Xenopus tropicalis: one gene and its partner. The protein of the gene in region 1 purifies or fractionates together with the protein of each later gene. This does not show direct contact. Links are inferred from orthologs where the notes say so. Each region holds a gene or a part of one and is shown in the gene's direction. Other genes may lie near its edges. The genes, in order: luzp1 and dapk3.

Region 1 (12,898 bases):
TCTACCAATACACCAGTGCATGGTTCATTGCGAGATAAGGAAGGGAAGAGGCTTCTATACTCTTTCTGATAGCTAGTGTGACTTGATCGGAGAAATAAAAGTGTAGCCATAACATGCGTGGCCTTTAGTAAGATCTCCATCCATGTGGCCCGTGAGCCAAACGCTCAGAGAACATAGGAGATTGGCTTTTACATGGCCACCTTTTGGAGAATCTGGTTCTCTCTAGTGGAGAGATGGCGTCTCTCTTTAGAGATGGAGAATTCCCTTTATTTGATTGTTAATGCTCTTGTAGTCCTCCAGAGATGCAGCCATGAGTGCCAGGCAGCCCCACCTGAACATGCTGTGTTCAGGTACCAAGTGTCTGATTGGCTCACACTGCAGGGAGTGTGGAGTGTGAGACAGCACAGCTGCTGAAAGCTTTTATGTCTAAAGCACTGAAGCTGTGGCTATATCTATGAATGGATAAATTAAAAAACAAAACAAAAAAAAAATTATTACTGCAAAATTGCAAGGGTTTCTACATGGTGGGGTGCCACCTATCAATCATCAATCTTATTGCATGCAAATTGGCTTCAAATGTAATTGACCCTTTTGTGTGTCTGAATTGAATAGTGAAGCTGCTGATCTAAGCTGCCTAGCGCAGGGACTGATTTAGATGATCTGTGTAAAGTGTTTAAAATATGTTGACTCTATATAAATAATGGATAACATGTTAAAACAAAATGTGGTCCCCTTTAGCAGGAAAGCAAATCAACTGAAAGGTCATTTAAGTTCAGTGCTTTGCCTAGTGCTGTGATAACATGTAGAGATGTTGAGCAGGGATTAGTGTTGATGCTGTTCTGTATGAAAATCAAGTAATTCTGTGCTTTGTGGATGATGATCCTAGATTGTGTGTAAATAAAAATGTAATGACCTCAAACAATCAGTTATATAAAGTTGGTAACATTGTCAATGCCCCCTAAACTGTAAGTTATATCTTAGTACTATGGTTCCATTTTCACTGTAGGTAAAATTGGACCTATAGCAGATTTGGTTGGGCTTTCAGTTTCATCAACTAGGCATTTCCTATATTTACCCAAAGGGTTTATGAAGGAGCAGTGCCAGCATTGTGTCACTGTATGTACTGTCTGCCCTATGCTGCCTGGGTGTATGGCACACATAGGCAGCATAGGGCAGGCAGAGCAAGGCAAACACAGGCAGCATAGGGCAGAACTCTGCCTGCCCTATGCTAACTGTGTGTACCATACTCTGTTTGCCCTATGCTGCCTGTGGGAGTAGAACCTGGCAATTGGAAATAATCATTTTTAGTCCATAAGGTGTGTAATTATGTGCTGGAGGTTGTTGTGCTACCCACAGGGGGGGAGGAGCCATATGGATTTAAGGGTATGCCTTAATATGACATTATAAACCTTTTTTTTTTTAACATTATAAACTTCTTTCACATATGAAAGAAGGGTGAAATCCCTGCAGTGAGCACCAACCATTTGGGTTTTTGCTGCGCTGCCACCGTTAATGTGGGTATGGTCTTAAAAGCTCTTGTGATGACATGGGTGCAGTTTAAAAAAGGGGAGTGGTCAAAACTGTCTTCCATTATCTGCCCTCCACCATGTAGGCCAGAAAAATTCTGGCCCTCGGTACCACAGAAGTTGGACAGTACTGCATTAGATAAAAAAAAAAAATAAGATTTTATGTGTGAGATAATGGTGATAACTGTTAAATTACAGATACTTTGGTATTTTCCTTTTGCATAGCTTGTTTAGATTAAATATGTCTTTTAATATACAAATGGCATGTGAAGCATTAAGCACTAAGCCAGATGTAGCTGTGTGCCTCAAAACAAAATAATTAAACTGTTTATGATGTCAGTCTAATGTGATGTGCAGTATGGTGCTTGTGCTTAAACTCCATTATAGTAAATCAGGCTTCAAACTCATTATAAAATAGGCCAGATGGGTAGCTTTTATGCAGTGTATAAGTGACAGTTTTGTTTAGTACATTGCAGCATGCCCAGCTGTACAGGCTTAAAGGCTTAACCTTCTTGAACGAGCAAAACATTGTTAGGTATTAAACAGCTATTTCGTTTTGTTGTGGTATTTGGCTTTTAATTTTCTCTTTCCAGTAGATGACAGACATTTGTACTCAGGTAGCTTAATCGGCTGCCACAGTCTTGGATGCTTACGTTAGAGCAACAAACGACATGCTTTTAAATTATCATTAGAGTCCCTTTAAAATGCATATTTTGAAAATGACAAATGCTGTTTCAGTGACTCAGAGTGAATGCTAAATACATATATACAAGTCACAGACAGTTTATACACACACGCACCTGGTTTAGGAATGATACTTTGCTGATATTTGCTGTGTTACTGGTTTCTGAACAGCACAGGTGTGTCTGTCTGCAGGACCGTACAGGTTTGAACATTTTTTTCGTATCCTCACCCTAAACTGTTACTTCATTGTCTCACAAATTTAATCTGCTCCTAAAGTCTCTTAAAATACTATAAATTTGTATCCATTTAGACCTGAAGTCTCTTCCACAATCTAGAGCATTCTTTTCTTTTTTTTATTAATCTTTACAAAGTTTATGCATTGAGAGATATTATTTAAATTAGTCACAAATTAATCGCAGAAATGATAATGTTAAATTGTTTTAAATCTGATGTCCCTATTTGCATTGTTTTCTACAAATGTGCCAGTTTAAAATACTTTCTAAAACTTTGCATCCGGTCATTTCAAACACGGCGATACGGCGATCTTCCCCCTGCACAATCCACTATGCGATGATCCACATCTCCTCCTTGCCTTCCTTCTGTACAGACAAACAATTGACTTCCGGTTTTGGAGTCTGGCAAGGAGAAGATGTCGCTCATCACATAGTGGATTGTAAAGAGGGAAGATCGCCGGTATTTTCTAATAAAGCATTTAAAATAATAAACGCTGGGAAGGATAGGGCAATTATTGGATCAGGGTAGATTAGATTTTTTACTTAAAAAAATTTAGTGTTACTTTTCCTTTAAAAGGAATCCTTAAATATAGGATAGAATTTTTGCATGTGTACATGTATATATGTTAACAGAAGATATTAAAGAAGTTAGGCCTGCATCAGTCTAACTATATTTTTTCATTAAAAGTAATGGATATTTATAGGCAAATTATTGTTGTATAAAAAGAGATTGTTTAGTGCATTTCCATCTCCGCAAGGGGAAGGAAAACGCGTGATTCAAAACAGACACATTTTAATTAAGTCAAGATGTGATAGAATAGGCTTATGCTTGCTCATGTCATCATTTGGTGGCTGTGTAGGTATTCTTTTTCCTCCCTGCCCACATGATAGATCAATGCAAATAATCTCTCAAAAATACAGAGAGGTACAGGGGTACCTGGCAGAAGAAATAGTATAGATGTTTTCTCATTTTTTCCTAGATAGTCATTCAGTTTGCTAGATACACATCACTGCAATAAACCCATAAGAGCTTTTAAGTTCAATCTTGACTAGAAATGTTTGTGCTAAAATAAAGACATGGTGTTTTCACAAGTTTGTTTTTCATGTTTGATATAGATCCAACTCACGAGTCTTGATCAATATCTTAGGTTAGTGTAGGACAGAAGTTTACTCTCTATGTTCTTTACTTTATTATAGCTGCTATTAGTGCCATCCACACTTACCTCTTTTATGTTTGGAGCGGGTCAAGAACGAGCCACACCTTGCTCTGCTAGTGCTCCCTCTGCACTTAGAGTCAAATTTTTATTTTTAAAAACGGAAATTCTCTTCTTTAAGTTACCAAAGGCAGCTTTTTGCCACCCCTGGTAGCTGGCCACTCACTGACCCTGAGGCTAGATTCTTACCTTGTCTCATGGCACAGAGCTAATTTTTAACATGGTTACCTTTTTAGTGAAGATATTTATTACTCTCTGTCTAGTGGACCTTTTGGGCAGCACCCTGGTAACAATATACGATCCGCTTGTTTGTGGAGGCAGCCAGATGAGTGGATCTTTCCATCTATATGCCCATCTAAGGTGGGCAATATCAGAGTAATTAGAGGGCCAAACCAATGAACTACAACATCTGGCCAGTTGTAGGCCTGATATTGTCCATTCAGGGGTTCCCGTACATGGGCAGATAAGCTGCCGAAAATGGTCTGAAGGACCCAAATCAGCTGCTTAAATATGCCTTTGAGGGCCACCTTTAGTTGAGTTTTACAGCAACATTATGGATCTATTAAGGGCATATGCAGGGGAGTGACAGTAAGAAGTAGGTTGTTGTACTCTAGAGGGGTGCATCGTTGCAGGAATTTTTTCGAGATGTAACTAGTGAGATTATTTGATTTATTGGATGTACAGTGTAAAGGAAAAGTTATTAACAAATCTGACCGCAAAGTAAGTGTTATTACTATGACAGTATGGGTGGGTATAAACGCAACAAGTTTTGTTTTATAGTAGAACAACAGATGAACACATGAGATATAACAAAAGAAGATGAAGAACAGGCAAAGAGCAAGAATTTTGTTTCATCAGTATAGATGGTATTTGAAGCCATAAGACCTGATAAGTTTGCTGAGAGAGTGGAAGGACCCTAGAAAAGGGGTTCAATTGGTGACAATATTTTAGCTGGTAAATATGAATGGGACAAACTGGTTGGGAAGATCCGAGCAACTTGACACAGTGTACACTTCACTTTCCCCAAACGTTTTTCACGGTAGGGGTATCAAACCACCCTATCAAAGCAAGAGCTTTTCTTCTTGTGGTAGATTTTTTGTACTGTGCAGGTATCGCTGTTCTAGTTTTCATAGGCAGCAATTTCAAGGATTTTATTTAAACCTCTATACCCCAAGAGGCAATGGGTCCTCTCAACCTGTTGTGGCTTTACAGTCTATAAAACATATTAAATTTAAGATAGTCACTCAAGTCCTTGAGGGCTACTTATGGCATTTGCTTGATTTAATGGGATGCTACCTTCACGGACCAGGGTCCACAGAACATGTTATGCTTGTTTTACATTACAAAACTGTAACCAATAACCAACACAGTGGAGACCGTGCAGCTTAGATTTGGTCCTTAAAGTCACTTGGGGGTGCCTAACATTTTGGCACCCCCAAGTGACTTAGCCTTTTCTTCGTTGACTGACAACTGAAAGAAATGTACACACCACATGAAGCACTTTCATATATAGAATGAATTTTGTATAGAAACATGTTATAAAGATTTGAATGCCTATGGTAATCTTCATTTTATCATTCTTTTTAAGGTTAAAATGATGACTGGATGTCCGCCAAGGTGTGCTTATCAAGAAGAGAAAGGATAATAACTGACTTGCCAACGAACTCATATTAGAAAAAAGATTTGGTAAGGGCTCTTGTGAGAGCCATCAGTTTACTGCAGCCATGGAACACACAAGCAGACATCTTCGCTTTAAGTTACAAAGTCTAAATCGTCGCCTGGATGATCTGGAAGAAGCTACAAGAAATCTTCAGAAAGCAGAAGATGAAGTTTTGGAACTTCAGGAAAAAATTGTCCAAGTAGAAGGGAACAACTCTAGCATGTTGGCAGATATTGACGCTTTGAGAAAGAGGGTTGTAAAAATTGAAGGTAAAGACGAAGAGGTTAAAAAAGCGGAGGATTTGTGCAGAATTGTTAGGGAAAAACTAGAAAATGAAGAAAATGTTACTCGAGAACTTAGGTCAGAAATTGAAATTCTCCAAAAAAAGATGACAGAACTGGAGAAGCTGGAAGAAGCTTTTAGCAAGAGCAAAAATGACTGCACCCAACTGTGTCTTAGCTTGAATGAAGAAAAAAATATGTCTAGGAAATTGACTTCTGAACTTGAAACACTTAGGGCCAGAATTAGAGAACTGGAATCTTCTGAAAGCAAACTGGATAAAGCTGAAGAGTTTTTGACTAGTGAACTTGAAAAGATTAGGTCTTTGGCTGTTGGTTTTGCTAATGAAAGAAAATATTTTCTGGAGAAGGAAAAGCAGAATGAAAAAATAATTCAGGAACTTAAACAGCAGTTAAAAGGTAAAAAAAACATTGGAGACCAGACCCAAAACGAATCAAATGTTTTGCAGCGGTCATCTGATCAGTTACTGGAACACAATAAAATACGGATTGAAGACAATGTGATATCTAAATTGTCTCAAGGAGTTGGTTTTGACTACATTAAATCAGAGAATCAAACAACTAGCGAAAACGAGAGGAATAAACAACAAGAAGACAATAAAATACATGATTTGTGTCAAGAAATTGAGAATCTTAAAAGTCAGATAAAACGATTTGAGGGAATTGACGAAGAGCTCAAACAGTTTAGAGAGAAAAATAGAAAATTGCAAGAAATCTTCCTTGGTGAACAGAATAAAGCCAGACATTTGGATGGTGAACTTAAGGAACTAAAAAGACAAGTTAGTCAGCAGAATGAAGTAGAAAATGGAGTTATTGGTAGCGATGAATTAAGTTTACACAATAAATCGAAAAATGAAAGAGCTAATAAGTCTAAAGGAGTAATACCTGAACCTCCTGCATCAAAATATACTCAGAGAGATTTGTCTCCAAAACAACTGAGAAAAGAGAGACACCGTGACATAGATGTGGATATTTCCTCTAAGAGACATTTATCAAGCACAAGTACAAATAGCAAGAGACCCTTAAAACCTACTTTATCTGACATGACTTTAAGCCATTCAAGGAAATCTGAAGATAGACTAACTTCCAATGTATCTGCTGCTAAAGAGTTTGGAGCTCTACATGAAATAAAAAAGGCTAAAGATCAGCCATCTGTATTAAGTCGATATCCACCAGCTGCCCAAGAACACAACACCCAAAAAACATGGAAAGCATCAACAGGAAATAAAGATGTATCCGCAAAACAATTTGGAGAAGACTATTCTATTAAAGTTACTCAGATTGTTGACTCAAGAAAAGAGAGCACATCTGAAGAAGATGAAGATTTAAATGAGACTCCTGGTGCCAAATCAGACAAAGTCAATTCAAATTTTCATGAAGTGCAGTTGGATGATAACTCTTCATCTGCATTGCATTCAGAACCAGTCACTTCTGGGTTAGAGGGGACCTCTCCAGATAAATATACGGCAAAAATGGTGGAAGTACAAACTAAGACTGCTCCTAATTCAGACAGTAGTGAAGTAAAGGACATATCTCGGGATAGACCTTCCAGATACTCGCGTCTTAAATCAAGAATGGATAGCATCACAAACTCTTCTGACACTGCCCAATCCACCAAGCCACTATCAAGTAAAGATAGTGGAAATCAAAACTTAAATTCAAATAGAGTGTCATATAACAGAGAAAGACAAAGACCATTATCATCTTTAAAGCCACAAATTCCTGAAAAACCTCATATTTCAGAATCTACTGAAAATAAAGAATGGGACAAAAGAAATGTAACTTTAAGAATTCAGAACAGAAGACAGTCAAATCCTAAAGAAAAGACACACGTACTGGAGCAGAGGATTTCCCAGTTTGATATGGACAGTCAGCAACAACAAAGAGATTCATTATCTGACATATCCAGAAGAACATCTTCTGATAATTCAGAAAGCATGGAAAAACCTTCCCGCATAGAAATAAGGGCAAGATCATATAGCCCAAGAGAAGCTTTGCAATCCACAGTGATCATTAAGCCAGTTATTGTTGAAAAAGACACAAAAGAAAGTATGGGCGAATACAGAGCAAGATCCAGTGCAGAACAGAGTAGATCACAAATTAACACAACAACAAATAAAGTGACAAGTAGCATAACATTTTTTCCAGCCGAATCACCTTCATCTCGATCTAACACAGATGAAATCATAAAACAAAGGCATACTTCTACCAGTAATATTCGGCTATCTGCCAATGACCAACCTTTGTTAAATAACATAAGTATCCCATTTGAAATATCAATCAATAAACAAGATATGTTAAAATTGGTGGATACAAAAGATAACTTGGATCATAAGGAGAACAGCAAGGCTTTTGACCCTGGCAATTTCAAAGAACAAATGAAAAACAACAATAATAGTGTTGGACTAGAAACTGTTTTGCTGAAAAGTCATGAAATTGAAGGGAATCATTTGGATAATAAAAGTGTAAAGGTAAGAAGTTCTTATGGACGCAATGTGTTTGGATCCACTGAAGAACTAGATATTTTGTCTAATCACAAAGATGTGACAGTGGATACTAAGCACAGACGAAGGTCTGCTTTCGAGGATGAGAGACCTGGAAAACTTCATACCCGGGAAATGTATTCAAGGAACAGGAATTCTTTTGAAAACAGTTGTACAGTCAATGAAACGGTTTCCAAAAGGAGCTCATCTGCAGGACTTAATTCCTGGAATCGCCTGAGCACAGAGGTATGACATAGCTATTTTCTTTGTGCTTCTGTTGGTTTAGTGCTTTTATTGGTTTAGCATATTATGTTCTTAAATAAGGGTTTTAAAACAAAATATATTTGTCATAATCATTTAATCAGAAACAGATAATTTTAATAAATAACATACAAGTGCATGCAAAATAATTCATATATTGGAGAAAATCAACATTTTTTGACGTGAAGATTAGTCATTATGTCCCTTTTAGGAATAAACTTTTGTTATTGATATATTAAGTATTTTTAAGCTTTTGAAATCCTGATCGGTAGTGGAAAAGAGTCCACAATAATTTTTATTGCAGTAACTTTTAGCAACCAGTCAGGATGCCCCAAATCCACTATTTTCGGATTCAGCCGAACCCTTTGTAAAAGATTTGGGCGAATACAGATTTGGAGCCCTGATTTGCATGTGTAAATTAGGATATGGACGGGTTATAGAGCACCATGCGCTGCACATGCAGAAATTTTTTTTCAACTTTTAGGTTTGTGACAAAAAGTCTTGTGATTTTAAGGATTCAGATTCGGTTCTGCAAGGAGTGTCAATTCAGCTGAATCCAAATCCTGCTGAAAAAGGCTGAATCACAAACCAAATCCTGGATTCGGTGCATCCCTACATAGAAATATGGGTTTATTTGCTCAGGTCTAAAGGCAAGGTATCAGTAGGTGCATCAGAGAAGTGATAAGTAGAATCAGCACTGCAGATGTGAAGAGAGTTGGGTTTAAAAAATTGGTAAAAAAAAGCTTAGACTATTATGTGAAGTGTAGCAAGGTTTGTAAATTAATTAATTATGCTTAAAGCCCAACAGAGCCACATTAAGTTGCCCACACACAGGCTGGTTATACTCTTCAGTCTTTTCAACCAGATTGGCCAGATTTAGTTCTGGCTTTGAGCTTATTGCTAAAAGGGGAACAGTCACATTAAGAAATCATTCCAAATCCTGTTTTATCATGTTGGTTGAGCATTTAATAAACTTTACTTACACTACATAAATTCTATAAATCTTTTTAACCCTCAATCTTGCAAGTACACAATTACAGCAAGCAAGTTATTAAGACAAGCTGTGCATCATACCAAAATTTTGTTTATGCTCCACAATTAGGCACTTGATGCCCATGTACAGGATACATAAATGCAATGAAATCTAGGAAGTGCTGAATAGAAAGTGAAAGAAATTGCCTGCCCCACCTCTATGCCTGAAGCAGGCAATGTATGATTGACAGCCCAGATTTTTAAATACCTTTTGTAAAAGGTATGATTGTTTTAATAAAAAAAAGAATTTGGATTTAAGTTTAATTTGCAAAGGACCTTTTAAATACAGCTTTTTATGTGTGGGTGACAGGTCCTCTTTAAGATGATTAAAATCTATTTAGAATCAGAGACTTTTTTGAGTTTTGGTCAGCAATTGTGTGAGGTTATTAGCCAGGAAGTCTTTCTAGGTGCCCATATACACAGGGCCTGCACATCTTGAATTTTCTTAGGTTATGGCCCCGGCAGTTGATCAACCCACCAAACGCCCTGTTTATCAGAGCTTCAAAATAATTCCGAAAGCCACAAAACCTTTAATGTCTATGTACAGCACTAAAGGAACAAGGAAAGGTAATTTTGGCGTGCTATATTTTGTAAGGCACTCATTGCTGACCGCATCATTTAACCTTTCTTTTCCAGCTGGTGCCCATATTTGATAAAATCAATTTTCTGCCCAGCATATATCCTTATACCCACCATCCATATTTTGGCTTATTTCTCACTTGCTGCTCTCAACTCAATGCATTCTAATAAGTCTAATAAGAGGAATGTGTTAATAATACATGTACATGTGCATGGCCTAACAGACCAATAGCCAAGATAGCTTGTTTCCAGGTAAAAGCCAGGCACCGAACTGGAACACTAGCTGGGAATGACATTAATGACTAAAAACACCAGAGGATGTCTTAAAAAAATGCTAGGTAATTTTTCTGGATTCTCTAGTTCAAAGTATAATAAATGAGACCATAGTGTTTTACAGGTGTTACTGGCCCTTTAAGCAAGATAAAGTTTTGTCCTACCATATGGTGTTAATATCCTCTCCCTTCCTTTCCTATTCAGAGTGAGTACAGTTATAGCTCTAGGAGAAAGGCGAACAATCTTGAAAAACTGACAAAAGTCGACACTTCTGGGAGTAAATCTTTGCATCAACAGCCAAGCATGGTGGAGGAACGGATACGAAGGTTAGAGCAATAACCCGTGGAAGAAGTACAAGCCTAAGAAGGTGAGCTGCCTTCTATTTGCATTTATGAATACAAACATTGTGCTGTCAAGGCTATAACAAAAACGTGTTGCATTGTGCTGCATTTTTGATCACAAATGGTATGTTACATGAATCTGCTCACAATGAATTGATTATAGATTTAAATATTGCTGTAAAAAAATGATGCAACAATCTTTTTTCAGTAATGAAAAAAATGAGGTTCATAGCGCTTAACATTGTAGAACTGCAGCCAATTGGTTTATTTGACACTTTAGTGGAACAGCATGCAAAGTTTCATGATTTTCTGCCCTTGGTAAGGGCTCTTGCACATGAGCTTTTCCTTGGGGTCGATCTTTGATGTGTTTCACCCCAATAAAATGCCTGAAGAAATGCAGCCTGTTCTTTTCTATATGTTTGTACCCAAGTTGTGTTCCATCTGCATTTTGGAGCTTCCCTGTAATAGATGTTTTAAAAGAACAGGCTGCATTAACATGTGCATTTCCTTGCAGTGGAAAGCAGGACAAGGGAAACAGGACAACTGCCTGTATGTAAGAGCCCTATAGGTGAAATAAACTCTACAGCACCATCTTGTGGTAATATGTTTCCACACTCTGCCTCATAATGCTCCAGGGTTAGCTTTCACCATATAATAACTGTATTCCTATATTTGTTGTGTTTTGCAGTGGAGGCTGCTGCCAACACTCTGCTTCCTCCCTTGTAGGATTTCTACAGTGATATATCATTATGGTTGTGGAAACTGAGATTGTACCATGCATGTGTGATCCTTTTGCATTTAGCACTGAGAATACTCCTCTAGGAAGGTGGATAGTGGAAGGGAGCCAGGCAACAAACTCTCCCAAGCTAATCTCCAATAAAAGATTTTACTCTCTAAATTCCAAAGATACACTACTGCACATGCCCTTCAGCTAGTGTAGCTGCAAGGGATTCCTGGGATAAGAGACAAGATAGCAGTGCAGTGCTCAGTAGAATAATAAAATAACACTGTTTCCTGCTTGTATCAGTATTTACCGGAATGTTTTTTGATGTTGCCATGGTAATATTTACAGTATACAAAACTGTACCCATGGGTGGGATATATCCCACCCGTGTATCTAACCCTTGGATGCTGCTTAGTATACTATGACTGTAATGATACCCCCCAAAGCTTCCCAGTAAGTCCACATGTAGGCAAGTGAACCCAAATTTATTAAGCACGTAATGGGCTGTAATACATTGGCAGTGAAGACAAAAAATGTAAACAGCAGCCAATAACAAATGTGGTATAACCATAATAAAAGGCACAATGTTTGCCCAGGAGAAGTAAACCATAGCAACCATTAAGTTGTTTGTTCTTAAACAGGTGAGCAGTAAAAGCTACCTGCTGATTGGTTGCTATGGGTTACTGCTCCTGGTCAAACTTAGTGCCTTTTATTATATAACCCCTACAGTCTTTTAAATCACTTGAATAACAATTTTTAATAAGGTGAATAGACACTTAGGGCCAGATTTATGATTGCTCGAGCCTTCAGGCTCAAGCAATGATTAAGGATACCCTGTGTGAGTTAAGGACCTCATGCTGGATCTCGGGCAAAAATAATCTCTGGAAAAAAACCCCAAATTTGTTAAAGGGGACCTGTCACCCAGGCATAAAAAGCTGTGTAATTAAAGTCTTGAAATCCGAATCCATTATAACGGCATTTGAAAATTCTAGGTGCCCCGCCTCTAGGCTTAGAGGTGGAGCAGACAATTATTTTCACTTTCAATTTAGCACTTTATAGATGCCACTGCACTCCTAAATTTTCCCCTTCCTCCTTACAATCTAATTGTGTACCAGTGCATGGGCATTAGGTCCACCATTCTGGCACATAAACAAGATTTTGGGATGATGCAAAGCTGTCATTACCAGCCAAATGGCTCCTGCCTGCTTGCTGTAGTTGTGTAACTCCAAGGCTAAGGAAACAAGATTTAAATAATTTATATAGTGTAAATAAAGCGAGGGGGGGCATCACTAGTACAGAGAGCTGAAACTCTTATTTAAAAATTGGAATTTCAGCTCTTTTGAGCTGCTACTGCCTGAGGTGAGTTTTTCAACTCACCTCATGGCAGCAGCACCCCTGCTTTAACTTAGATGGGTTTCCTTTATGATTGGCACAAGCAATCATTAATATGTCCCTTAATATGCAATATTGTTATGTTTGGGAGTTCCCTATCAGTCCCCTCTTTTTACCTGCATCTTTGAGGTCCGCCTAAAACAGTTATCTTTCAGGCTATGTTTGCTATATACCTTTAGTTGTCACTTTTACTGTTA
Region 2 (12,898 bases), on another chromosome or scaffold:
AGTTCAACTGAAAACCTTTGGATCCAGAGTTTTCTGTCATGCTGCCCCTACCCTGTGGAACGCCTTGCCAAACGGGATCAAGACAGCTCCAACCTTGGACACATTTAAATCAAAACTGAAAAGCCACCTGTTTAGCCTGGCATTTATGGCCACATAACTTATCTGAGACAAGCTTATGCGCTTTGGGTCCCACGGGAGAAAAGCGCTTTGCAAATGTTTGTTGTTGTTGTTGTTGTTGTTATATTCAGCTTAAGACCTATTTATCTATATGGGGAGTATACTGGGCATTTAAATAGCCCTGTCTCAAAATAGCATGAAATGTTGCCATTATGATCCCCTAGTGGATTTCTACCCCATAATTATGTTACTTGACATTTTGGGAGGTTATTACAAGATTTAAATACAAGCTCTCATTACTATGTTGATGGTGAACAGTAAGTGGCTATTTTCTTTTTACATCTTTTACAAATATGGCCATAGTGGTTAAATTTCCTTAATCAGTCCTTTTGCTTATCCTTGCCTTCAAAGAACCAACATTTATGTGGATAATAGGGCAGCACTGGAAATTAAAGAGTGAAAACTGAGCTTGCCAGAGAAAAAAAACACAGCTCAAACTAGTGTTAGTAGTGGGTTAGGAGATGATTAGAGATGATTTTTGAGTACTTATTAGGTGAACCCTGTTTTCATGAAAATGCTCACAATGTCTAAATTGATATGAATAATTTTTATTGATTTATTTATTTTACTAGTGGGCAGTTTGCAATTGTGCGGAAATGCCGCGAGCGTTCTACCGGTGTGGAGTATGCAGCCAAGTTTATTAAGAAGCGCAGATTGTCATCTAGTCGCCGAGGTGTGAGCCGTGAAGAAATTGAGAGGGAGGTAGACATACTAAGAGAAATTCAGCACCCCAACATCATCACCTTACATGATGTGTTTGAAAATCGCACAGATGTGGTCCTGATACTTGAGCTGGTTTCTGGAGGGGAGCTTTTTGACTTTCTGGCACAAAAGGAAAGTTTAAGTGAGGAAGAGGCAACCATGTTTCTGAAGCAGATTCTTGATGGGGTTCACTATTTGCACCACAAGAATATTGCACATTTTGACCTCAAGGTATGTCTCCATCAGCTCTTGCTTAATAATTATTTATAATATTTTACAGGGAAACATTCGTATATTTAGATCCTCGCAGACTGTCATATATGGCCCCCAACAAACACTGGGGCCATATATGCCATATAGGCATTTGAGGGCCCAGTCTTAGGTCAGCAGCTTTAGGGGGTGGCCCTAGGGTGCTTATATATTAGTTAAAGAAATGAGAGGAAAAATCTACCTAGCCCTCCACCGGGTACTTGTTCCTAAATCTGGTGAAGGAGGTGAGGGGGTGTTCTTAATTGTCAGTGAAGGGAGCAGGCTGTGGTCCAGTGCCTATGGCAGCATAGGACCTTTGGACCTAAATACAGTCCTGGCAACAGGCTATAGGCGGAGGATGCATGGGATTTGTTCATACAATTGTTTTATAGTAATGGTTTATTCATGCATGTAAATATATTGCAGTACATTTTCATATCCAGTTGATACAAAAATAATTACAATACTGGTAGTATTAATAGTGTTAAATTGAAAACATAGATGTTAAGTTGTTTAGCTGTGAGGAAATTGTTGGTCCATTTATCTGTTTATCTGCTTTTTGTTTTTATACAGCCAGAGAATATCATGCTTCTGGACCACAGCTCCCCCAGTCCAAGAATAAAACTTATAGATTTTGGAATTGCTCACAAGATAGAAGCTGGGAATGAATTCAAAAATATCTTTGGAACTCCAGAATTTGTAGGTAAGAGAGACTTGGGAAATGGTTGTGTTATTATCCAAGATTCACTTTTATTTGTTATCTTTTTATTTACCATTTTTTACATTATTATTAACATATTTTCCAGGGTATCCTGGATAGTATAACCAACCAACAAAAGATGGATGTTGTCAGTGATTTGTAAGAAAAACGGAGACAGACTGACTTAGAACAAATATGTAGAGAAGCGTAGAGAAGCATTAAAGTAAATTCCTTTCCAGTGGTTTAGATCAGTGCTGTCCAATTGTGGCTAAGGTCTTAATAATGTTTGTGTTAATATTGGTGTGGTTTTAAAAAGGGAGTGAACAAACCTCACGTCCATTATCTCCCGCCACCATTTAGGCCAGAAAAATTGTGGCCCTCGGTACCTCAGAGATTGGATAATGCTGGTTTAGATAAGCCCAGAGTCCTCGGTTTTGTAGTTCTTGTGTTCCAAAGAGTCCAGGGCAAGATTCTAATTGACTTTTAAACTTCTTCTACTCCAGCTCCTGAAATCGTAAACTATGAGCCATTAGGACTGGAAGCTGATATGTGGTAAGACTGACCTTATGTGTACCATTTAAAAGGATGGGGGAATTTGTTAGATGGCATGGAATATTACAGGACTGCTACAGGGAAGAAATTATTCAAGGAACCAACACTTTTGTGGGTGGCGTAATGGTCTCAAAGATGTTTTAATATCTTTTTCAAAAATAAGTAAAAAATGGGGGATTTTCAAGGTGTTTTATTTAAATATAATTACATTACAAACATAATGCAAAACATGTTTTTGGGTGACGTTTCCTTGTAAGTAATGTGTTTTACTATTCAGATAATACAAAAGAAAAATATAAATAAAACAAGCAGCCACCCTTTTACTACAGTGAGTCAGGGATATAGACTGTTTGGTATGCTATGACTAACCAGCCAAGTATTTTCCCTGGTCTGGCTTGTTTGTGAAGTGTAGAAATTTTATATCCAAGTTTAGGCAATAGCATATGCAAGTGAAAAGACCATCCATGATCATGTCCTAAATGAAAAGGCTGATGCATTATTTTAAGTACATTTTGATCCTATTTTTACAACTTTTATATCTCTTTACCAGTCAGTGATTAGTTTTTTTCCAGCCAGCTGCAGGTAGAACAAAGAATACTGTCATGGAAAAACATGTTTTTTTTTTGTTTTTTTTTTCATCAGTCAATAGAGCTTCTCCAGCAGAATCCTGCATTGAAATCCTTTTTTCAAAAACATAAAAAAAATTTTTATAATTAATTTTGATTTCATGCCTGTTACAGATAAGAGGTACAAATATGCCGGTAACAGTACTAGTACTGTCAAATTCAAGTAAATTGGAGGTGGTTTTGGTGGATTCAGGCACATCTCTGCCAGTTTAAATGGCCAGTGTACCATTGGCCTAACGTTTTTTTAAGAAGATACTTTATTTTATAATAATAATGCATTTTTTTTAGACGTGTTTTTTTTTTTTTTTTTTTTAATAAGATTAAACTCTGGGCTTTCATGGATGAACATTAGTCAAGTAGGAAAATGAAAAAAATAAAATGTTAATGTGCTAATGACTACAGCTATATCCATTGTTTCCCTGCAGGAGCATTGGAGTCATCACATACATTCTGTAAGTATGTTATAACCAAGAATTTGTCAGGTACCACTATGCTTCTTTCTATTAGTTCTTGTTATAAAACATATGCAGATAGCATAATTTTTTTCTGACTTTATAGCCTTTGAAACTTGCCTTTTATTCAGCCTCAGTGGTGCATCACCATTTCTTGGAGACACCAAGCAGGAAACTCTGACCAACATTTCAGGTGTGAATTATGATTTTGATGAGGAATATTTCAGCAACACTAGTGAACTGGCTAAAGATTTTATTCGTCGGCTATTGGTCAAAGATCCAAAGTAAGTTATTTTCGCATCTCATCTTTTCTTCCCATTATTGCTAGCTTTTGTTCTTGAAGAGAGAACTGATAATACAGATAGGGACAGCAGTATGGGACAGCACTCCTTTTTCACTTTTTCATGTTAAAATAAAGTATTTACATTTCAGGTCCCTTTGTAATTGGGGCATCAGCGGCAAGCAGGGTAAAATTTGCACAACAAATGGTGGGGGGGGCATTAAACCTTTGACCTGATAGTGTTGGGTGAAAATTTGATGTGTCAAAACAAGGCTGCTGTCGGGGCGGGGGTGGGGCAAGTGGGGACTGTTGTCCTGGGCCTAGCTGCATTACAAAAGTTACAAAAAGTGAGCAAGTTACATTAAAACTTATGCAGTTTAGGTACCTTGAACAACAATTTAACTTAACTTGCCTAGAGACTTATGTAAAAATATGGATCAAGCAATTACAGTGCAGAGAAGCTTGACAAAAGCAGGCAGGAGCAAAGGAGAACTAAACCCTAAAAATGAATATGGTTAGAAATGCCATATTTTATAAACTAAACTGACTGCACTAGCCAAATGTTAAGTTTCAGCAATGATATAAGACTTTACAATTGTCACAGGAGCTCCTCATCTTGGATTCTTTTAGAATGGTCTGGGACAGTGCACATGCTCAGTGAGCTCCGAGCAGCTGTTGAGAAGGGGTTGTTGCAAATTATCAAGCAGAAAATCAGGTTGGCCTGTCAAATAACCTGCTGCTAACGGGCTAATTATTAAAATCTGATGCCAATTGCAATGGTTTCCGAGCTGCCATGTTATGTGAATCCAAATGAATAACTAATCAGCCTTGTACAGTTACATTTATATTCTATATACACAGTATATTCGGTGCATTGGTCCCCAAGCTCAGTAACTGACAGCAGCACAGAGCATGTGCAATGGATCAGCAGAAAACAAAATGGGGAGCTACTGGGGGCATCTTTGGAGGCAGAGATCTTCCCTGCTAAATGACTGTGGTTTCCTTGGGCTGGTACAGAAGCCCAAAACATATTGTACACCATTTCTACCCTATTTCTTTAGTTAAGCTTTAGTTCTCATTTAGGGCAATTTCCATTTCCCCCAATAAACTGACTTTATTAGAACATTAATTAATGGAACTATTTATAAACTACCTATTATAGAGTAAAATCATCTGTTAATATTGGGATCTATTTACTGAAGTATATGAGCCTCTCCTACGTGAACTTTCTGGCAGTGGAATGAGTAGTTAATGGCCCCGCAGAAAGATCATTGGGCCCCTGAATTTATTATAAAAGTATTTATGTGAACTACTACTGACTAGTTATTGGTGTATATGTACAGGTATGGGAACTATAATCCAGAATGCTCGGGACCTGGGGTTTTCCCAATTTGGATCTCCATAACTTAAGTCTGCTAAAAATCATTTAAATATTGATAGCAGAAGTTATGGAGATCCAAATAGGACAATTCTGCCTCCAATAAGGATTAATTATATCTTAGTTGGGATCAAGTACAAGGTTCTGTTTTCTTATTACAGGGGAAAAAGGGAATTATTTGCTTATAATGGAGTCTATGGGAGGTGGCCTTTCCATAATTCAGAACTTTCTGGATAATGGGTTTCCGGATAAGGGATCCCATACCTGTACTACATGTACACAATTTTCGTAATTTATTGAAAAACTTAAGTTTGTGGGAACTTCTGTAACGTCTGTATCAAGCAATGACAGCGCAGACCAGTCTGATGGGTCAGGTAGGTGGGTATGTTTTAACTTGGGGCAAATTCTATTGCCCCCCCCAATAAATTGACTGACTTATTGGCACATTACTTAATGCAACTATTAATATGAACTACTTATTATGGAGTAACAACAGCTTGTTTATAAAATAAATTGCCATGTCACTATTTTAATAGCTGCAGCTAGTGTTGTGAAGTTATTAAATAGTGTTGCATATTGTATTGCTCAATATTCTTATGCGCCTTTAAGGAATAATTCCCAGGGGTATTGCCAAATTGTCATTAAAGTCAGTCTATATAGTATGTTAAATGTCTCCTTTACGGTGTATCTATACACCAAACCAATTTAATAGGCACAAATGCAAGTTAGTGTTGCTAAGCTGTGTTTTATCATGGGGTGCATCTGCCTTACAGCCAGATCCCTTTTAACACTGTTACACCAAACTTAGTCCATGCACACTCAAATGCTTTTTTAACACAGCTATGTCTGCATGAAAGGGCTCTTTCCATTCCTGTCCCTATATAGTTACCCCCTGCTTTTGATTAAATAGAAAATATAGGTTGAATATATAGGTAGAAATATAGGTTGAAAAAATACATCCAGCAAGTGCAACCTTTTGTCCCAGCAAAATAATGACTTTTTCTGATTCAACTTCGAAATTATATGGGAGGGGGTTCAGAAGTAAAAATGTCATGCTTTCGCATGGCTAGATTTTGTGGCAATGTCTGTAATCTAGGTAGTCGATTTTTTTTTTTTTTCGTTAAATGAAAAAGCAAGGCTGATTTTTGGTTTTTTTTTTCTTGTTCTTTTTTTTAGAAAAAGAATGACCATTGATCAGAGTTTAGAGCATTCGTGGATTAAGGTGAGAGGACCTTCAGCCCTTCACACTACAAAGGTCTACTTTTTTTCAGTCATCTAAATGCGAAGACACACAGAACTATTTGTTACAGCTACTTAATGCCAGAAAATGCCCTGCCATAAACAATACTGAGAATTGCCTCTGCTAAAACACACGTATAGACCATTATTGGTAAATTATTAGCATTGTGTATTTTTGTAGCCATGACAAGTTGCTGCTGCTAGTAGCTCTGTGTGTCTTCACCCTAATGGTAATAGTCTTATCTGGCTAAGTAAAAAGGTTGTAAACATAAAAAATCTAAGCAGCTCTCTGATACATTTATTACACATTTCAGATTTGTAAATGTAATTGCTAATGAAAGCATGTCTGTCAGTCCTTTGCCATTCTGTGCAGTCAATGCTTGTTTTCACTGTTGAAACAATAATGTAAGATAAAGATAGTAACAAGCATATAAACCACTCTAAGCGTGCTCAAAAACTATAATATCTGTGTTGTCTTAACAGAGCTGCAATGAAATCAGACTATACCCTCTAACATAAAACTCTTGACTGTAACTAGTGCTGATTTAAAAACTGTAACAGTGCATTGTATCCTGTTGGCTATAGTAAATTGTTTACTTTTGTTAAAAAAAATCCAAGTCGTTTAAATTTATACATTTTAATATAGTTTATACTTCCATTACTAGGCTATCAAGCGTCGAAATGTCCGACATGAGGACAGTGGAAAACGTCCTGAACGTCGTCGCCTGAAGACTACTCGTTTGAAGGAATACACAATAAAATCACATTCTAGCATGCCCCCAAATAACACCTATGTGAATTTTGAAAGATTTAGCCATGTGTTGGAGGAGCTAGGAGCAGCAGAAGATGCACTTCGTGAGCTTCAAAAGAGTCAGGCCACCTCACGCGAGGACCTTTGCGCCCTGCGCTCTATCTATGAGGAAAAGGAAAGTTGGTACCATGAAGAACAGGAAGGAGTTGGGCGCCAACTAGTAGGGCTCCGGCAAGAACTGCAGCGCAGAGAGGGTCAGCGTCGGCAGGTACAGGAGGATTTAAGGGGAGCTATGCTTAGTGCCAATGCTCTGAAGAGAAGGTTTGGTAAACTGGAAAATAGATATGAGGCCCTGCAGGTGCAGTTCACTGCAGAGATGAGCTTTGTGGAAGATTTATTAAAAACTGTGGAGAGAGGTGGAGATGGATTAAGAGGGGTTTGCTGAAAAATGTATGTTTCTTTTCCCAAATAACCTTGGATTATTTCAGTCCTACTATTTAAAGACTGCAATTGTACCTGAATGCGCTTATGCTCTTATGTTTAACCACTTCCTGTACATTCAGCGTTAGCAGGTATGGACAGTATTTAGTTCTGTACATTGGCATAGTCATTTACACTTACAGTTTAGTGATCCAGACCAAAATTTGGTGTAGACATTCCACATACATATCTATGCAAATAATGTGGATTATGTCCCCATTCCTGTCCAAAGCACTGGAGTTACACCAGTGCACTTTATTTATGTACTGTTATTAGACTGTTATGTCCTGCACTAAAATGCTTGTGTTGAAAAATACTGTTCTGAATAATGGTATCAAATTGCACCTATATAAAAGAAAAATATTATCTGACAACTTAAGGCTATGTGGGTACATGTGCTTGGACATTACACCACTGTATTATAACTTAGAATTGTCATTCCATCTAAAAATAAAGGCTTAATGTCCATCAACTAAAACTTTTTTGGTATTGTATTTGTCTATACAAATTTGCTCCCCTGCGGCAAATTCGAGAGACTTCAGGTGGGGTTTTTTTTTGCCTTCCTCTGGATCAACGCAGTTTAGATATAGGTATTAGGTTGAGCTTAATGGACATATGTCTTTTTTTCAGCCTAACTTATCCTATGTATATGTTACCGCCAAGTAAATGTTCCTGTTTTATTATTACAGAAAAAAAGTAAATATTTTCCAAAAATTAGAATTAACTCTACGGGAGATGGCCTTCCCATAATTTGCAACGTTCTGGATAAAGCATTCTGTAATTACCTCGGTTTATGTTTCTTGCAAAACAGCATACATTCAATGAGGGAACAAAAACTCAATTTCAGGAAATTAAATTAAGATCAGTATTTATTTTTAGTACATAGATTGGGACATTTTTTCAGCTTTATTCCCCAGTAGATCCTTCCTGCGGGCCGCAAGGGCATCCATTGTGATTAGAAGAAAGAAGGTTCCATCTAAATATTCTGAAAAGGGTTTTACAGTGAGAGCTGTAAAGTTGTGAAATTCCCTACCTGAATCAGTTGTGCCGGCTGATACATTAAATGGAACCAATCATCAACCAAAACGGTTTCCCCCACCAGAGGTGCACGAATTGTTATGTGCATGTGTGTGAGGTAGAAGGGTGAATCGCATCCACCGCTCCTACATCATGCGCATGCACAAAATGTGCAAACAGGGAGACTAGCTCATTATACGTGTGTGGGGCAAACAACATGGCCACCCACACTGGTGCGGGCAGCCTAGTAATGGTGGGACCTGTGGTGTGTTTTTTTATAAACTATTTTCCCCCCCAACTTGAATGCGGGCTCTATTAGCCCACACCTCCTAGACAAGCTGGCAATCAGGGTGGTTAAGTTGTAGATGAGATTCAGTGCTCATAATAGTATGTTTATGTACCTGAGATTTAAAATATACAAAGCACTTTTAATTTTAATTATACTAATGCAAATCCTTCATGGAAAAGGACTTGTAAGTGCCTAAAAGGTATTGTTCTGTATTTTAAAAAAAAAAAAAAAAAAAAAAAGAATACAAGGCACTAGTTAGGGCCATCTAGAATATGTTTTGATATCATGTGCTCAAATTTGAAAGCTGAAATAGTGTCCAAAAAAATCACTAAGCTAATAAACGGCATTGGAACTCTTAGTTATGACGAAAGTCTGGCCAAGTTAGAACTTTGAATTTGTAGGACCTAAAGTGGTTGTACTGAGAGATACATTGGATGACTTTTTAGCAAGTGAGAAAATACAGGCTTACTAAAATTAGCTTTTAATGGAGAATGAAAGCACCAGTCATTTAGAGATGCCAAATGTTAGGCAAACCCAAGTGATTGTAATCACTTACCTGATACTGAACATAACATAACAAAAAAGATTGCTTTTTCACTCTACCGTTCATGCGTCAGCCCTTGGATTTTGAAAGATTCTTGAAATAAAAAGAAGAACCGTAAAGGAGGATTGCTCCTTGGTTCTCACACAGAAGTACCCTGGCCCAGTGCAGTTTTCTGCTAACAGGAGCACCAGCCCAGGGTATCAGGAAACGATTACAATCACAAATTGTAAAGGATTGGAGAGTGGGATTTTTCCACCTTCCTCTAAATTAACTAGAAGAATTAACCTTAATATATAAATAGTCATAAATTGGTACCACTCATAATGGAGTTAACAATAGTAAGGCCTCACCTTGAGTATGCAGTGCAGTTTTGGGCTCCAGTCCTTAAGAAGGACATTAATGAGCTGGAGAGAGTGCAGAGACGTGCAACTAAACTGGTAAGAGGGATGGAAGATTTAAACTATGAGGTTAGAATGTCGAGGTTGGGGTTGTTTTCTCTGGAAAAGAGGCGCTTGCGAGGGGACATGATTAGTCTGTACAAGTACATTAGAGGGGATTATAGGCAGATAGGGGGTGTTCTTTTTTCCCATAGAAGCGATCAACGCACCAGAGGTCACCCCTTTAGATTAGAGGAACGGAGCTTCCATTTGAAGCAGCGTAGGTGGATTTTCATGGTGAGGGCAGTGAGGTTGTGGAATGCCCTTCCTAGAGATGTGGTAATGGCAGATTCTGTTAATGCCTTTAAGAGGGGCTTGGATGAGTTCTTGAACAATCAGAATATCCAAGGCTAATATGATACTAATATCTACAGTTAGTATTAGTGGTTGTATATATAGTTTATGTATGTGATTGTATACATTGGTAGGTGTGGGTTGTGTGTGCTGGGTTTACTTGGATGGGTTGAACTTGGTGGACTCTGGTCTTTTTTCAACCCTATGTAACTAAAAGGTTCTGGCTACCGGCTGCCTTCTAGTTTCCTCACTATCACCTTTTTTCTCTGATTTTATAAATTCATTATAAGATTGTAATTAAGATAAAATGTCAATGTATTTCTCTCTAAGAATTTTGTCCTTAAAGGAGAAAGAAAGGTAAAAACTAAGTAAGCTTTATCAGAAAGGTCTATGTAAATACAGCCATAAGCACTCACAGAAATGCTGCACTGACTTCTCTGTAAAAAGATTTCTTGTGCCAGAAACACACAGTTTTCTGCTGTCTCCTCTCTCCTGCTCCCCCCTCACTCAAGAATCCTAAGAACTCACCCCCCCCCTTAGGAATGTGGATCTGAGCCAATCAGCAGGAAGCTGACTCATAGTCTAACTAACTGAGCATGTTCACTTGGTCTTGGTGCAGGAGCGAGGCATTATGGGAACTTTCTTTACAGAGCCCAGCACTTTTTTTTCCTATGAGGCTTCTGATGATCTGAACAGGAGAAATATGGGGAGACTTAAAGGCACTATTGAGAGAACAGAAGGTATGCCTGCAGCTTGAGATTAATGCTTTATTCGCCTTTCCTTCTCCTTTGATAACAGTAATGTCATGGGAATGAGATACATTACCAATTTGTTGAATTGTAGAAAGAGCTTGAGCCACACTGGTGCTTGGTGTTTGAAAAGTCCCTCTGTGAAACCAAGGGTGATGGAGCAGCCGCTGCCTGTAATTCAACCCTTTGCAGTTATCCACTTGAAGCACCAGATTGTTCAGGGGTTGCAGTGTACTGAGGTCAGGATAGTGCAGGCCATATGTACCTACTTGGGGTAGACCTTTCTTTGCCCTGCATCTCTACCGGTCTTTTGCACTTAATGTCGCACTTTTTGCAGGACTTTTTAAACAAAGAGCTTAAAGAAGAAGTAAACCTTTTTTTTCTATTTCTAAAATTACTCTAAACAACCCCCAGCATAACATACCTTAAGCTGGCCATACACGTGGCGATCTGACGATGTTTTGTACGACCATCGGTCGCACGAAACATCGTCAGATCCGCCACACACCATTCAGGGCTGAATCGGCAGGTAAGGAGGTAGAAACAATAGGATTTCTACCTCCTTCTGCCGATTCAGCTCTGAAGGGAGAATTTTGGTCAGGCGCCTTCTATGGCGCCCGATCAAAATTTTCTAACCTGGCCGATCGACGAGCCGACTGATTTCAGCAGCTTCCTGCGACATCGGTCGGCTCGCTGACATACCTTACACGCACCGATTATCCTACGAAACGAGGTTTCGTACGATAATATCGGTGCGTGTATGGCCACCTTTAGTCCTGGCATGCCCAGATGGCTCTCCTCTTCGATTTTCCTGTAGTCAAAGAGATATGAAGAGGGGGCAGGGCTTCATGCTGTACCAGGAAGTAGAGGAAAGGAAAAACAGATAAGACTGCTTTCTAAACTAAGGTCTGTTGGTCTTAGTGAAGTCGTTTGCACATGGATTGAAAACTGGCTACAGGATCAGGTACAGAGGGTGGTTGTTAATGGTACATTCTCTACTTGGAATAAGGTTCTAGTAGTTAGGCAGGTTATATATAGGCATTATGGTTGAACTTGATGGACGTATGTCTTTTTTCAACCCAACTTACTATGTTACTATGTTACTATGTTCTCAGTGGGGTCCCTCAGGGTTCTGTACTGGGTCCACTTTTGTTTAACTTGTTCATAAATGACTTGGGGGAGGGTATTATGAGTAATATATCAGTGTTTGCAGATGACACAAAACTCTGCAGACCAGTCAATTCTATCCAGGATGTGACATCCCTGCAGCAGGATCTTGACCAACTGGCAATCTGGGCAGCTAAGTGGCAGATGAGATTTAATGTGGATAAATGTAAGGTCATGCACCTGGGATGTAAAAATATGCAAGCCCCGTATACCCTTAATGGGACTGCACTAGGCAAATCCCTAATGGAGAAGGACCTTGAAGTCCTTGTAGATAATAAACTTGGCTGTAGCAAGCAATGCCAGGCAGCAGCTGCAAGAGCAAACAAGGTTTTGAGCTGTATTAAAAGGGGCATAGATTCACGGGAGGAGGGGGTTATTCTTCCCCTTTACAGAGCGCTGGTAAGGCCCCATCTAGAATATGCTGTTCAGTTTTGGTCTCCAGTGCTCAAACGGGACATTATTGAGTTAGAGAGGGTCCAGAGAAGGGCAACTAAGCTGGTAAAGGGTATGGAAATATATAAGGGGACCATATAATAACCTTTCTAATGTTTTATTTACCAGTTGGTCCTTCCAACGGACACGAGGGCACCCACTCCGTTTAGAAGAAGGGAGGTTCCATTTAAATATTCGGAAAGGATTTTTTACTGTGAGAGCTGTGAAGTTGTGGAATTCCCTCCCTGAATCGTGCTGGCTGATACATTATATAACTTTAAGAAGGGGCTGCATGGATTCTTAGCAAGTGAGGAAATACAGGGTTATGAGAGATAGCTCTTAGTACAAGTTGATCCAGGGACTGGTCCGATTGCCATCTTGGA

Evidence for each region.
Region 2: the proteins of luzp1 (region 1) and dapk3 purify together in Homo sapiens (affinity purification with mass spectrometry; 3 studies listed by BioGRID and IntAct, with this or other methods). This does not show direct contact. The link is inferred for Xenopus tropicalis from reciprocal best matches to the Homo sapiens genes LUZP1 and DAPK3.

The regions. Positions count from the first base shown.
Region 1 is NC_030678.2:89,342,551-89,355,448, reverse strand, and holds part of luzp1 (leucine zipper protein 1), read left to right. Parts: intron 1-5,245; 5' UTR 5,246-5,381; coding exon 5,382-8,345; intron 8,346-10,448; coding exon 10,449-10,583; 3' UTR 10,584-10,611; intron 10,612-12,898.
Region 2 is NC_030677.2:93,138,692-93,151,589, forward strand, and holds the end of dapk3 (death-associated protein kinase 3), read left to right. Parts: intron 1-749; coding exon 750-1,110; intron 1,111-1,701; coding exon 1,702-1,831; intron 1,832-2,331; coding exon 2,332-2,380; intron 2,381-3,431; coding exon 3,432-3,458; intron 3,459-3,589; coding exon 3,590-3,742; intron 3,743-6,292; coding exon 6,293-6,338; coding exon of another isoform or gene 6,339-6,371; intron 6,372-7,020; coding exon 7,021-7,551; 3' UTR 7,552-8,065; downstream 8,066-12,898. UniProt on the Homo sapiens protein: Serine/threonine kinase which is involved in the regulation of apoptosis, autophagy, transcription, translation and actin cytoskeleton reorganization. Involved in the regulation of smooth muscle contraction.